2 linked regions of the Lonchura striata genome follow. Each later gene encodes a partner of the first gene's protein in a complex. Links are inferred from orthologs where the notes say so. Each region holds a gene or a part of one and is shown in the gene's direction. Other genes may lie near its edges.

Evidence for each region.
Region 2: TERT (region 1) and NOP10 share a complex: the UniProt entries of both Homo sapiens proteins name them as parts of the telomerase holoenzyme complex. The link is inferred for Lonchura striata from reciprocal best matches to the Homo sapiens genes TERT and NOP10.

What each region holds. Positions count from the first base shown.
Region 1 is NC_134603.1:64,359,734-64,367,884, forward strand, and holds the start of TERT (telomerase reverse transcriptase), read left to right. Parts: upstream 1-4,903; 5' UTR 4,904-4,942; coding exon 4,943-5,170; intron 5,171-6,137; coding exon 6,138-8,022; intron 8,023-8,151. UniProt on the Homo sapiens protein: Telomerase is a ribonucleoprotein enzyme essential for the replication of chromosome termini in most eukaryotes. Active in progenitor and cancer cells. Inactive, or very low activity, in normal somatic cells.
Region 2 is NC_134639.1:2,432,245-2,438,135, reverse strand, and holds NOP10 (H/ACA ribonucleoprotein complex subunit 3), read left to right. Parts: upstream 1-4,702; 5' UTR 4,703-4,744; coding exon 4,745-4,798; intron 4,799-4,958; coding exon 4,959-5,099; 3' UTR 5,100-5,270; downstream 5,271-5,891. UniProt on the Homo sapiens protein: Required for ribosome biogenesis and telomere maintenance. Part of the H/ACA small nucleolar ribonucleoprotein (H/ACA snoRNP) complex, which catalyzes pseudouridylation of rRNA.

The sequences.
Region 1 (8,151 bases):
CTTGTTTCCCCACACCACATGCCCTATGCACAGGGCAAGACAGAGAACCAAATCACATCTCCATTTACCAAGACCACTGCAAAGAAAACACAGACTGCAGATGCAAGCCAACAGAGAAGAGAGCAAGTCACTATCACAGACAGGCTTCATTCCACGGCAGATAAAAACCATGACACATGAGGGATGCTCTAAAGAGGGATTACACTGAGCAGCTGGTTAGGCTGAAGGGATGTCCTTGATTAAAGGCACATTAGTGTATGATCTGTCTCAAGCAATAGCCTCAGGTGAGACTGGCACCAAGGTCAGCCACATTGTCTGAAGATCTGTGATGACTCTGATGGATGTGATGGGCCAAAAAGGGGTCTTACTCTGACAAATTGTACTGGGTCTGGCAAGGACAGAGTTACCTTTCTTCAAAGCAGTCTGTGTTCTTCTTTGGGTCTGTGACTAATAGACAACACACCCACACCCTGATATTGCTAAGCAGCACTTGGAACAGCATCAGGATTTCTTTTTTCCCTCTCTGCCTCCAACATGAGCAGACTGAGGTGGGCAAGAAGCTGAGAGTGGACACAGCTGGGACAGCTGACCTTAACTGACCAAAGGAATGTCCCCTTGTATCATATAATGTCATCCTCAGCAAAAGTAATGCTGACTCCTCCAATTCTCCACTACATTCTCCTGCCATTCTCTACTACAGAGTTAGTCAACTTCCACAGCTGAGTCATCAGATTCACTTCTAGGTAGTCCCTATGATATCTTTTTGGATTCTTGATGTCAGGTTACATATTTTCATAGCCTGTGATACAGAAACTTTCTGTCTTGACATGGGTAATCCCTGAGTTCCTTTAAACTCACTGGTAATTACCATCTAATTTTAGAGACTCACTGGCTTTTGTATTTTTTTTTCCTCTTTCTTGAACAACATAATTCACAATAATCAACCTTGAGACTGTTCATGGTGTGTGCAAAGATTTCACACAGGACCCTCCCTCAAGTTTCTTAGTATTGCCATGATTGTCCTAAGTGTTCCTTCTCTATTTTTGCATTATAGACTTCCTGACAAGCTGTTCCATTTCTGAAGTTTCATGTTTCTTCCAACTTTGAGAAGTTATTAATCAAACTAATCTGATATTGTTTGATTTGTTTTTTCACTTTTCTATTTGAACACACATTTTGAAAGACACCTGACTTCTTCATCTTGTGACTTTTCTTCTAAGAGTTCCCTTTAGCCTTCTCAAATGGAGCTTTGAAAATAGAGGCACATTTGCAGAAAGCTTGCCTCTTTAAATGGCCATTACTGAAGCTGGACACAAACATAACATCACATTTCCTTTCACTTTGTTGCTTGACCATAAAAACAGCATTTTATTTTTATCATACCACTATCCATTCCCAGGGTAACCCCCTTTCACAGAAACTGGTTGTAAAGCAGAATGTGGATAAGGTTAAGTATGCCTTGAAGCATAAATTTTGTTGAGACCTGACCCCATTATTTTTCCAGATCTGGGTTCCCAGTAAAAGAGTGATATTGTAGTGAGCACAGAGAACTTTCCACTTGTCCTAGGGTGACTTTATGGTGTTTGTATTCCCAATCATGTGTTCTGTTTATGTTTGATATTATCTTCTGTGCTTTCAGAACTGACTCTGAAAGTGAAGGTTTGTTTTGTCTTGTTATCAGCCGGCTCACCTCCCCCCCACCCCCGGTCTGTTGTCTAGGAGAGGCTAATGCTTGCTGGCTGGCCTGGCCTGCTTGCTTGCTCTTGCTCCTCCTTTTGCTTTTGCCTTTGCTTTTGCTTATTAGTTAGTTTAATTAAGGAGTCCAATCTTTTTTATTCTGAACTGGTTTTTTTCTTTCCCTTTCCTGAGTATCATTCCAACCTGCTCTGGACTGGAACCTGGGAAACACCGAGGAACACCGAGAGCCTGCGTTTGGGGATCTGCAGCAGCCATCCCCAGTGCCAGAGACCAAGAACTGGGCAACCACTCCCAGGAGAGACTTTCTGAATTTGAATTTGTCATCTCTTCAGAGCAGTGAAAGAGTTTTTGTCATCTGGTGTTTTGGGGGTTTTTTTTGTTTGTTTTTTTTTGTTTTTTTTGGTGCTGGGAAGTGTTTTGCTTGTTAAATAAACAGTTTTTTTCCCTCTTCTCTCTGAGGAAATTCTTCCCGAACCGGGGGGGGGGGGGGGGGGGGGGGGAGGGGCTGTGGGTGGGTTTGCTTTCTGGGGGCTCCTTCTGGAGTTTTTCTCCCAAATTTGCCCTAAACCAGGACACCACTAAAGGACACTAAAGTGATTAGAGAGTGGGACAATCTGACCTATGAGGAGATGGTGAGGCAGCTGGAGGAAAGGCTTGGTGGGGATCATATCAAAGGAATTGTTTAGCCCAAGGAGGAAAGGCTCAAAGTGGGGATCATATCAAAGTGAATAAATACAAGATGGGTCCAAATTCTTCTCAATGGATCCAATATCAGGATAAGAGGCAGCAGGCACAAATTAAAATGAAGAAATCCTATTTAAACATTATTTTTTTTTTTTAAGTGTGATAAGGCACTGGAGCATGTTGTGCAGTGAGGTTGTAGAGTCTCCATCCTTGAGGACATTAAAGCCTGATTTGACATGGTACTTGGCAATCTGCTCTAAGTGACCCTGCTTTGAGCAGCAGAGTGGACTAGATACCTCTACAAAGTTCATTCAACCTCAGCTATTCTATGTCTCTGAGATTCTATTTTCCTTATTCATCCTGTCACCCCTCCAAAAAAAAAAAAAAAAAAAAAAAAAAAGCCAAAAAGTCAAAAAGTCAACCTTAATCTTTTTCCATGTTACTTCAGTCTCCCTCTCCCTCCTGAATTTTCTCCCCAGTCCAATAGTAGACACACAGAAAAACACACAGTACCTGTGAAAAGAAAGAGGAGAGAGCCCCCCTTAGCTTGGCTGCAGCAGCCCTCTCCCCCACCATCACTGCTGTGGTTATTGCCACCAAGGAGGCATCAGGAAGGGGCACAGGCTGGGACCTGCCAGCAACTGGTGGAGATTAATTAATCCCTTTTTCTTCCTTTTCCTCTTACTTTCTTCCTGAACATGCTTGTCACAGGAAATGGTGAACCTTATGTTTGTCACAGGCAACATTCTACCATAATGGTGCTGTCACCTTTGGAGCAACAGAGATATGGGGGGAAATACAAGTCAAATAGATCCTTCAGAGGTCAGACTAAGGGCATCAGCTATATCACTACCCTAGATGCAGATGCAGATGGATTCAGACTGTCTACAAATCCCCTGCCCCTCAGTATGCAGTGGTAGTGCAGTATTTTAATTACAGCCCTGCTGAGATCCCATGAAGCCTGGTGTTATTGCTCTGCCTCCCTTGGGAATGCCAGCTGGTGCCTATCTCTGTTAAGAGCTAAAAGAGTCTGGCAAGCAGGCAGTGCTGAACTGGAAATTATGTAGGAATGCCTCAACTTGTAGGTGACAAGTTGCCAGGGAGTTGAATCCTCAGTCATGCTGATGTTAGGAGATGAGCTGCTTTGCTCCCAGGAAGAAATTAATTGTTTTAGTAGGAAAGGAGGCCAGTCCTCCATGAGCAGTGGGATGGTGACCTCACTCCCTAGTCTGTAAAGGCTTCATTTGAGGAAGGTACACATGGCTCTGTTTCAGCAGACTCACGACTTCTACACATCTGTCCCTGCTACTGGTGAGAATTATTCACTGCATGGCACCACCACTACCAGGGACAAGACCATGGGGACACTAACATCTCCCTTCATCTAGTGACACCCCTGAAAAAGTAATCTCCACGATGGGATCTGTTGGATGATTCCTCTCAAAGATGAGGTACTCTCTAATCTTTGGGAAGGAGAGAAGTCTGTTATATTTCTGCAGGATACTTACAGCAACCTAATTATGAAGCCTGGGTAGAAGAGAGTCAGTCACCTCACCCTCCATGGTAGTGTGCTAACTCCATGTTGCCAAAACATTTACACAAAAGTCCTGGGTTTGTTGAATGTATGCAATGCATCATGGTACATTTTCTTGCAAAGGCTTTTGGAAATTCAGGTAGCATATATCAACCAGATGACCAGATAATTTTTCATGTCTTTTCAACACTTGACAGAACTCAAGGGCAGGACTCCTTATGGGAGCAATGTTGGCTGAACAATTTGTATTTCTCTCAGCATCCCCTAATTCCGTTATTGCACAGATATTTCACGTATATTGCTCTTACCCATGGCAAGGGAGTTGGAACTAGATGACCTTTGAAGTCCCTTCCAACCCAAACCATGCTATATAATTCTAGGATTTCTACTAATTCACCTGGAACACATATAGAGCCTAGAGACCTGCACTTCCCCAGGACTCTACTGCAATCCCTTTCACAGACTGGCATCAGGTTTTCTATCATGAAATCTTCAGATACCAAGCCAAATTTGGAGTAGGAGGTTGTACAGTACCGCAAGTGATGTGGCTTCTTCATTCATTAATTTGATGAGAAAAAAAACAAAAACCAACAGGGTGAGCCACTTCGGTATTTGTAGGGTTTCGTACGTTCATCTCCACCACAATCTCTCCTACAGGTGCTCTTAGTGCAGACAGATCCTCAATGGAATGCTTTTCCAGAGGGGAAAAGCGCTCCCCGGCGGGGAATGCTGCCGCTGTGTCCCCGCGGCGGAGCTGGACAGCGGCCTCCGGCCCCGCCCGGCCCCGCCCCGCCGCCCCGCCCCGCCGGCCCGCGGCCACGCGGGGGGCAGCGGCGTGCAGCCGCGCCGCGGCTTTGAAAGGATGCTTTGGCTGCTTCCTTTTTCCTCCGCCTCAGCAGTTAATGCGTTTACCTCCTCACGCATCCATCACTAAGCCGCTGCTCCGCGATGCCCGGCGGGCGAGCGGCGTGGTCGCAGGGGCGCCGCGGCCGCGCCAGGTGGCCCCGCGCCCTCTTTGGCCGCAACATGGCGGGCAAGGAGCCCTTCGCGGCCGTGCTGTCCGCCCTGCGCCGCTGCTACGCCGAGGCCGTCCCGCTGGAGACCTTCGTCCGGCGGCTGGGGGACGGCGGCGCCGGGGACGCCGAGGTGCTGCGGGCCGACGACGCCCCCGGCTACCGCAACTTCGTGGGGCAGTGCCTCGTGTGCGTCCCCCGCGGCGCCCGCGCCATCCCGCGGCCCTTCTCCTTCCAGCAGGTAGGAAGGGGCCGGGGGCGAGGCCCGGCCGGGCTCCCGGGGACTGCGGGGCGGCGCGGCGGCCTTTGCCCCTGTTGGCGGCTGCCGGGCGGGCCCGGCCGGTCCCGCAGCCTCCTTCTCCGCTCCGTCCCGGCCGGAGCCGGCGGGGAGCGGTGGGAGCCAGCCCCCGCCTCTTGGCTGGGAGAGCAGGGCCCGGGTGCCGGCGTGGGGCGGCGGTCGCGCTGCGGGTCTGCGCGCGGCCCCTGGCGCCCGCCTGCCCCTGTGGGTACGGGGAACAAGGCGAAAGTGGCCGGGGAGCGACGGGGGATGGAGAGTGCCCCAGTCTTGAGAGAATGAAGAAGAGGCGGGTAGAACGCGCTGCAGGTCGTTGTTTAAGCGGAGGAAAAGCTTTTCAGAGAGGGAAGACCGCTTTTTTTCTAGCGCCATATGAGCAAAACTGTGCTGTGGTAGGAAGCAGATGTTGCCAACCCAGGGCAACTTGTTAAATGGGTTTTGGAAGTGTGTGCCGAGTCGTTTAGTTGAATTTTCCTTTACATGAAAGGAAGTGGAGGCCTCAAGAAAATTAGCGTTAGTTCCCTGGAGGTTGGAGCCTGCGCGAGCACGTATGCGTGCCTGCGAACATGGATCTGCGAACACGGATTCATTGGAGGCCGTGGAGTCTGAGCTGCTGTGGGTCTTAGGGGGAATAGTGCAGGGCGTTTCCTGGGCATAAAAGCCAGGATCAAAAGGGCAGGTGTTAAAAAGACTACCTTCAAGTCATCGGCTTACGTTGCTGCATATGAACATCTTGCATTACGCTTGGAAAATCTTAATTTTTGAGTGTGATGCATGTGAATAATTAATACTGCTTTCAAAGCTGATGTCTGGGGCTGTGTAACTTTGCATGTGTTTATATTTAAAGGGTATATTGTGGTTTATGGAGGAGTAAGTGGAAAAAGCTAATTATCTTTTTTCTTTCTTTCTTCAGTTATCTAGTCAGAGTGAGGTCACCGCAAGAGTTGTTCAGAGACTGTGTGAAAAAAAGAAGAAGAATATCCTCGCGTATGGATACTCCTTACCAGATGAAAACAGTTCTCAATTCCCAGTCATGCCACTTTCAAAGATACACAGCTACCTACCCAATACTGCCACAGAAACTCTTTGTATCAGCGGCTTCTGGGAGACACTGTTGAGCCGGATAGGGGATGATGTGATGATGTATTTATTGGAACACTGTGCAATCTTTATGTTGGTTCCCCCTAATAATTGCTACCAGGTTTGTGGACAACCAGTTTATGAACTTATTTCACATAGTGTAGACTCATCCCTGGTATTTGTTAGACAAAGGTTCTCAAAATATAAACGTACTAGCTTGCTGAAATATATGCAAAAAAGGCTTATCTTTCATAGAAATTATCTTTTAAAGTCAAACAGACAAAGATATGAAGATAATGTCTCCAGGATGAGAAATGAAAGAAAGAACAAGAGACGAAGCTTAGGGCCCACTGACCAGAGTTCTGCAAAAACCGTTTCTAAAGGAAGCAAACAGATCAGAATGGTTACTGAAGCTCAGGAAAAACAGAGTAGCTCCAGTTCATGTGTTTCAGCCGCAGCTCCGTCTCTAAAAAGGAAGATTCATAGAGAACAATTTGAAATTCCAGCCAAGAGGGCAAAAATAGGAGAGAAAGTGAGAGAGGAAAAGGCTTGTAGTCTTGTTCCTGATGTAAACCAAAGTAGTTCCGAGAGATCTGAAACTGGGTATGTAGCAGCACATTCTGCAAGTGTCATTAAAACCCCCTGTATTTCTGAAAGAAGTAACAGTGCTGTGTCTGGTCCTTCTTTAGTTCACACATCTTGTGGCAGGAGGAAATTTGTGGCAGTCTCTCTTCTGCAGAGATTTCAGAGTAACAAACCTCTAGAGTCCAACACTGAAATGCAAGCAGAATCCCATAGGAAAAGAGTAGAGATGCGTACATATGAATCTCAGTTGGCTTCAGGACAAACCAAACCAGTGGAGGGTTCAAAATGCAGAGAGCAGGAAAGTCCCCAACCTCATTTATCAAAGAAGTTACCAAAGAGACTCCTGAGTTCTGCAACATACATTGAGAGGAAGTCTCTTCTGTACTCTTGCAGGAGTTTCCAAGAATGTTTTCCTAAATCATTTGTATTGAATCGCTTGCAAGGTTCTCAGGCAGGTGGAAGACAGCTTGTAGAAGCTATATTCTTAAGCCAGAATCAGGTGCAGCAAAGGCATAACCAAAGTCTGCCAAAACACAAGCGAAGAAAGAAGACATTGCCCAAACGTTACTGGCAAATGAGACATATATTTCAGAAACTGCTATTGAACCATGGGAAGTGTGCTTACTCAGCTCTCTTGAAAAAAAATTGCCCTGTTTGGATATCTGAAATCAGTATGACAAAAACCAAGCTGTCTTGTCAGGTGGCCTTGTCTGAGGAAGCAGAGGTTCAGAAGCAAGAGGAACAGTCTGGGAAAGAGCCTGCTAAGTGTGCGACAAGCAGCAGATGTGAATCTGGTCACAATGATGTGCCAGACAACTTAGGTGCTCCCTTGGCAGAATCTGCGCGTGGGGAGTTGCTGCCGAGTGAGGAACAAAACCCACGAGAGGCATGTGATTCAGCCCTCGCAGAGCTCCTCAAGCAGCACAGCAGCCACTGGCAGGTGTACATGTTTGTGAGGGATTGCCTGGAGAAGGTCATTCCTGCTGAGCTTTGGGGTTCAAACCACAACAAGTGCCGGTTCCTAAAAAATGTCAAAGTGTTCATTTCCAGGGGGAGGTTTGCTAAGGTTTCGTTGAAGGAGTTGATGTGGAGGATGAGAGTTAATGACTGCATGTGGCTTCGTCTAGGCAAAGGTATTTCTTATATTGAAGAACTACGTGGTGGGGCTGTCAGATAAGTGGTGATCTTGTTTAAGGTGGGAAGGGGAGGATATTGAATCTGGACTCAGAATTGCTGAGTTCATTGGTAATAACCATAGCTTA
Region 2 (5,891 bases), on another chromosome or scaffold:
GCTCCAGCTCCCTCCTGGCCTTGGAACGGGGACGTGGCTCCTGTGCCCTGGGCTGCGGTGCCATCTCTGGCTCTCTGCCGCTCTGCAGGCCTCTCGGGAAACGCTGCTTTCTGCAGTAAGGTTCCTGAAGAGAAGGGATCTTCAGCAGCTGCTGAAGACGGATCAGATGTGGAGCTTTGCCGAGCGCTTGGTAAGCACAGCCCGGAAGCCCCAGCCCCGGCCTGGAGAAGCCGCCTGCCCACGGTGCCCAGTCTGTGCCCTGGCAGCTGCGGCCCCTGCCCAGTGCTGCCCGCAGGGGCACCGGCCGGCGCCCCACACGCCGCTGCCTTCCCTGGGCCGCGCGGGCTCTGCTCCAGGCTCCTCTGGCCCCAAGGCCGGTGCTGAGGGAGCCCCGAGGCAGCCGGGCTCTGCCGCGGGGCGGCACCGCGGCTCGCCGGGCCCTCTGCTCCCTGCAGAGCCCGGCGCCGGCGGCTGCTGGCCGGGCCTCGGCGCTGTGTGGGCAGGGGGAGCGGCGCCGGGCGGAGGGAGCGCCAGGCCGAGGGGCAGGGCCCGCACCAACCCTTCCCTTCGTGCCCCGCCGCTCTCTGCAGCTGGCAGAGGACAGGAGCCGAGCGGCCGAGCACCTGCGCCGGGCCCTGCCCTACGTGCAGAGCCCACAGGAGCCCCTGCGAGAGGCGGCCGTCAGGTTCATGGGTGAGCCACGAGCCCGGCTCCTTCCCCGCCCCGCCGCAGCTCGGCCCCAGCCCCGCCTGCTGCCCCGGCAGCAGCATCCGCGCTCGGCCATCTGGAGCCCCGCCTGGCCTCGGCGCTGCCGCCGCCCTCTGGCAGCCGTGCCCTGGGGCAGCAGGATGCGCCAGGGGCCCGGGCTGAGCCCTGCCGGGCCAGGAGCCCGTGTGGCCTCGGGCCGGGCAGCGCCCGCGGGCGGCAGCTGTGGCTCTGAAGCCAGCTCACGCTCTCTGTTCCCAAGGGATGGCCGGGCGCTGCCTCAGAGGACAGCAGCAAGAGTTCCGCATCCTCTGCAGGGGTGAGTGAGGCCAGCGGGCTCTCAGCGGGGGCTGCCGCTGGCAGCTGCCTTCCCTGGCCCGGCACGCACCAAGGGCAGCGTGGGCACAGCACACAGACCTTTTGGGGGGCCTGTGGCACATTCGTGGCCAGCACCTTCCAGCTCGCCCTTCTTGTCTCCTGCTTCCTCCAGGCCATGGCAAGAGCTGCCTGGCATGGACGTGGCAGGAGGGTCTCCCCATGTTTCTGCAGACGCAGGCTCTGACGGTGGCTCTGTTCCTCTCTCTCGTAGCCCTTCAGGACATGGCGGATGACGTCAGCCCTGCCATCTCATGCCTGGCCCTTCAAACCCTGTACATCAATTTAGCTGTACAGGCCATTCCCTCCTCCCGACTCCAGAATGTGCAGGATCAACTCCGCCGGCTCTGGAAGTCACGGCCTTTCCCGTGCCGCCGTGGCTGGCTGTCCTGCTGCAGCGCTGTGGAGAACTGATCCGCCAGGCTGCGTCTGCTGGGGCCACCTGAGCCTGCGAGGAACAACTGCCCTCTGCAAGCCCTTCCTTTCACCCCAGAGTAGCATTAATAAATTGTTGTTGTCATACCCGGAGGTCCAGGAGCTTTCTCTTGGTGCCCAGATTTTTCAGGCCAATGGGGAGGAGGGGAAAAAGGGCGCTTGCACTCGGCAAGTTGCCCAAGCCTGTGGTGGGCAAGGGAAAGTGGCCAAAAGCCTTTTGGCCTTTGGTGATCCTTTGGTTGAATGTTTTTCTTCCTGCATCAAGTCTTCGGGAGCTATGGGAACAAGTGTGTTCTGTGTCCATGGAACAGCAGAAAACGCCAAGATGTGTCTTCTTCCAGCACTTCTCTTGGCTCTTCCTTCACACTGCTGGCACCGTCATCAGAGACATGGAACAGCTTCTCTCATGCCAGCGTTATCCCAATCTTCTGCACTTCCCCAGGTTCCTCCCAGCTTCAGCAGGGAAATTCTCTGCTCGTGCCTGTCCATTCCCTTGCCCAGAAGGCAGCACCCACTTGTCTTTGGACATGAGCTGCTGGCCACAACCTGACAGGCAGCAACTGGAGCATTGCGCATCAGATGCTGGGCTGATGTTCTTTCCCAGAAAGCAAGAAAAAACAGAAGGACACAAGGAAACTTGACACTATATCTGTAAGAATGTCATTGTCCTCTGGAAGTCAACAGTGGATGGTGTTTTTGTGTCGCAGATTATCACTTCCAAGCAAAAATCATTCTAGGAAGGAGCAACAGCTTTTGACAGATACCAAGTGCGGCTACCAAGTGCTGCTCCAGGTGCTCCTGCCTGCAGCCACCTGCAGAAATGATCACAATTAGAGAACACCATGCTAAATTAACGAGGACAATTAGGGAACAGCATGTTAATTTCAGGAGCACAATTAGAGATCACCATGTCAAATTTCACGAGGACAGTTAAGAAACACCATGTTAATTCAAGGAGGACAATTAGAGAGCATCGTGTTAAAATTAATGAGGCCAATTAGAGAACACTGTGTTAATTTCAGGAGCACAATTAGAGAACACCATGCTAAATTCACGAGGACAATTAGAGAATATCATGTCAAAATTAACAAGGACAATTAAGGAGCTCTGTGTTAAAAATAACAAGGATAATTAGAGAACACCATGTTAATTTAAGGAGGTAAATGAGAGAACACCATGTTATTTTAATGAAGATAATTAGAGAATACCATGTTAATTTAATGAGTTCAATTAGAGAATACCATGTTAATGTAGGAGGACAATTAGAGAACACCATGTTAAAATTAACAAGGATAATTAGAGATCACCATGTTAATTTCAGGAGCACATACTAAAATATCATCAGAGGCTGTGAAACAGCAGGGCGGAGACACAAGAATAAATAAAATAAAAAAGTAAAACCAAAAAAACCAAAACAAAATAAAATAAAATAATATAAAGTAAAATAAAATAAATTAAAATAAATTAAAATAAAATAAAATAAAATAAAATAAAATAATAAATCCTAACCCTCAGGATGTCTTTGAGCCGGAGAGTGAAGGAGTCAGGCAAAGGAGCTCCCAAAACCTCAGAAATTTTAAAGAATGTTTGAAAACTGAAAATCGCAGATTATATGACTGGCTTTTGGCAAATATTAAAATTAATACATGATGTGTTATGTTGGAAAGATATGCAGTATTAATCTCTTAAATTTGGCTGTAATAATATTTTTTAAATTTGGCTGTATTAATCTCTTTTTCATTTTAATAGCGCAGTATTAATCTCTTTTAAGTTTTGCTGTATTAATCTCTTAAATTTGGCTGCATTCATCTCTTAAATTTCTCCTGTATTAATATCTTTTCAGTTTTGCTGTATTAGTATTTTTAAACTTTTTCCTGTATTAATCTCTTTTAAGTTTTTCCTGCACTAATCTCTTTTAAATTTTTCCTGTATTAATCTCTTTTCAGTTTTGCTGTATTAATCTCTTTTAAATTTTTCCTGTATTAACCTCTTTTAAATTTTGCTGCATTAATCTCGTTTAAGTTTTCCCATATTAATCTCTTCTAAATTCTTCCTATATTAATCTCTTTTCAGTTTTTCCTCTATTAATCTCCTTTAAGTTTTGCTGTACTAATATTTTAAATTTGCCTGTATTAATCTCTTTTATTAACCTCTTTTACATTTTTCCTGTATTAATCTCTTCTAAATTTTTCCTGTATTAATCTATTTTAATTTTTTTCCTGTATTCATCTCTTTTCAGCAGTGTGGCACATACACTTTTTAGCCTAGAGGACAATATTAAAAGAACAGCAACAGACACCAAAATCTCAAAAAAAAAAAAAACCCAAAACATTGTTGCCTCCTTCTCTGGAAATCTCAGATTTTCAAAGATTGATTTACGAGTAAAAGTAAAACTCCTAAAATTTCAACACAACGAGTTTTTCACAAATAACAAAATCATGACTATGCACACGCCTCAGCGCTGTCACCCTGCTGGAATTATTCTCCTTTTTTTATCCTATTACTGTTATTCTTATTATTAATAAACTTTAAAAACTCCAAACCGTCAATTCTGTTCCTCACACTTTCAGACCCAAACTTCCTTACTTTGAACCCAAACTCACTTTTCACACCAAAATTTTCCCCCTGCCTCCCTGGGTTGAATTTTTAAGGTCAGACTCCCATTTTTTAAAAATCCAGATTCTCCTTTTTAGGTCCAAACTGCTCCATTTTTCTGCTCAAACCCTGAATTATGGCCCAAATTCTCCATTTTTGGACCCAAACTCCCCCTTCTGGGGTCCAGACTTCCCATCTGGGCACCGAAATTCCCCTTTATGAGGCACAAATTCCCAAGATTTTTTTGTCCAAATTCTCCCTTTTTGAAACCGAATTTCCCTTTTTCGGTCCAAATTTCCCCTTTTTCTTGCCCAAATCCCCTTTTTGGGCCCAAATTCTCTCTTTTTGGACCCAAATCCCCCTTTTTGAGCCCAAACTTTCCCTTCCTGGACACAAATTCCTTCTTTCTGTGCCCAAATTCCTCCTTTTTAGACCCAAACTCCCGTTTTCACCCCAAAATCTCCTTTTTTGGCCCCAAATTTCCCCGCTCGGACCCGCCAGGTTGAGTGGTACTCCCCGCTCGCTTCCGGAACTGCATTTCCCATCACCCCTCTCTCCAATTTCCGGTGTAAACACCGCCTTCTTTCCTTTTCTCTTGAGGCGACTTCCGGCCGGGTGCCGCGCTGGCGCCGCCATGTTCCTGCAGTGCTACGAGAACGAGCGCGGGGAGCGCGTCTACACCCTGCGGGTACTGGGCGCTTTTTGGGGCGCTTTTGGGGGGATTTAGGGGATGGCTCTGAGGGGACCCGCGGTGTTTGGGTGTCCGCGGTGCGGGCTGGGGCCATGCGGGCCAGTTGGACTGTGCTGAGGGGGGGATTTGGGCTCTCCCTGACGCTCTGTCCCCACAGAAGGTGTCCCCGGACGGGGTCCCCACTCGCTCGGCGCACCCCGCCCGCTTCTCCCCCGATGATAAATTCTCCCGGCACCGCCTGGCCCTGAAGCGGCGCTTCGGGGTTTTGCCAACGCAGCGAGGCCGGACCGTGCTCTGAGGCACCGCAGAGATCCGCTGCGGAGCCCCGAGATGGCCCCGAGCTCCTGGGACGGATCTCCGCCATGAGAAAAGGTCAAATCGCCATGCCAGCGGACTGCACGGAAATGGGGGGGAAAGGAACGTTTTAAAGAGGAGGAAAAATGAAGTATTAAAAGTCGAGGGTCTCTGAGTTTTGGTATCCAAATACCTTGGGTTTTTTTTCCTGTTTTGGGGGTATTTTTGTGGTTTTTAGGGTCTGGGGAGGGAATTTAGAGGGGTATTGGGGGAAGCGCTAACGGGGCTCTATGGGGCGCGGGTATAACAGGGCTCTATGGGGCGCGGGGGATGATGGGAGTTGTAGGTGCGGGTATAACTGGGCTCTATGGGGCGCGGGGGATGATGGGAGTTGTAGGTGCGGGTATAATTGGGCTCTATGGGGCGCGGGGGATGACGGGAGATGGAGTCGCTGCTTTAATGGAGCTGAATGAGACCGCGAGGCATCACGGGAAGTGGAGGCATGGCAGTAAATGCGCGCGATGGGCGCCGCGAGGTATGATGGGAGCTGTAGTCCCGGAAGTGGCTGTAGCGGAGCGGTTGGGGGTCCGGGAGGGCACTTGTGGGTCTACAGGGGCACCCTGTGGGGTCGGGAAGCCCCTGGGGGCACCCGGGGAGCTCTGAGGGGTGTCTGTGGGGCGCAGGACGCGACGGGAATTGTCGGGCCTGAACTCGGCTCTGAGGAGGCTCTGTGGCCGCGGGGCATGACGGGAGCTGGAGTCCTAGCTTTAATGGCGCTCCGTGCGTACCGCGATGC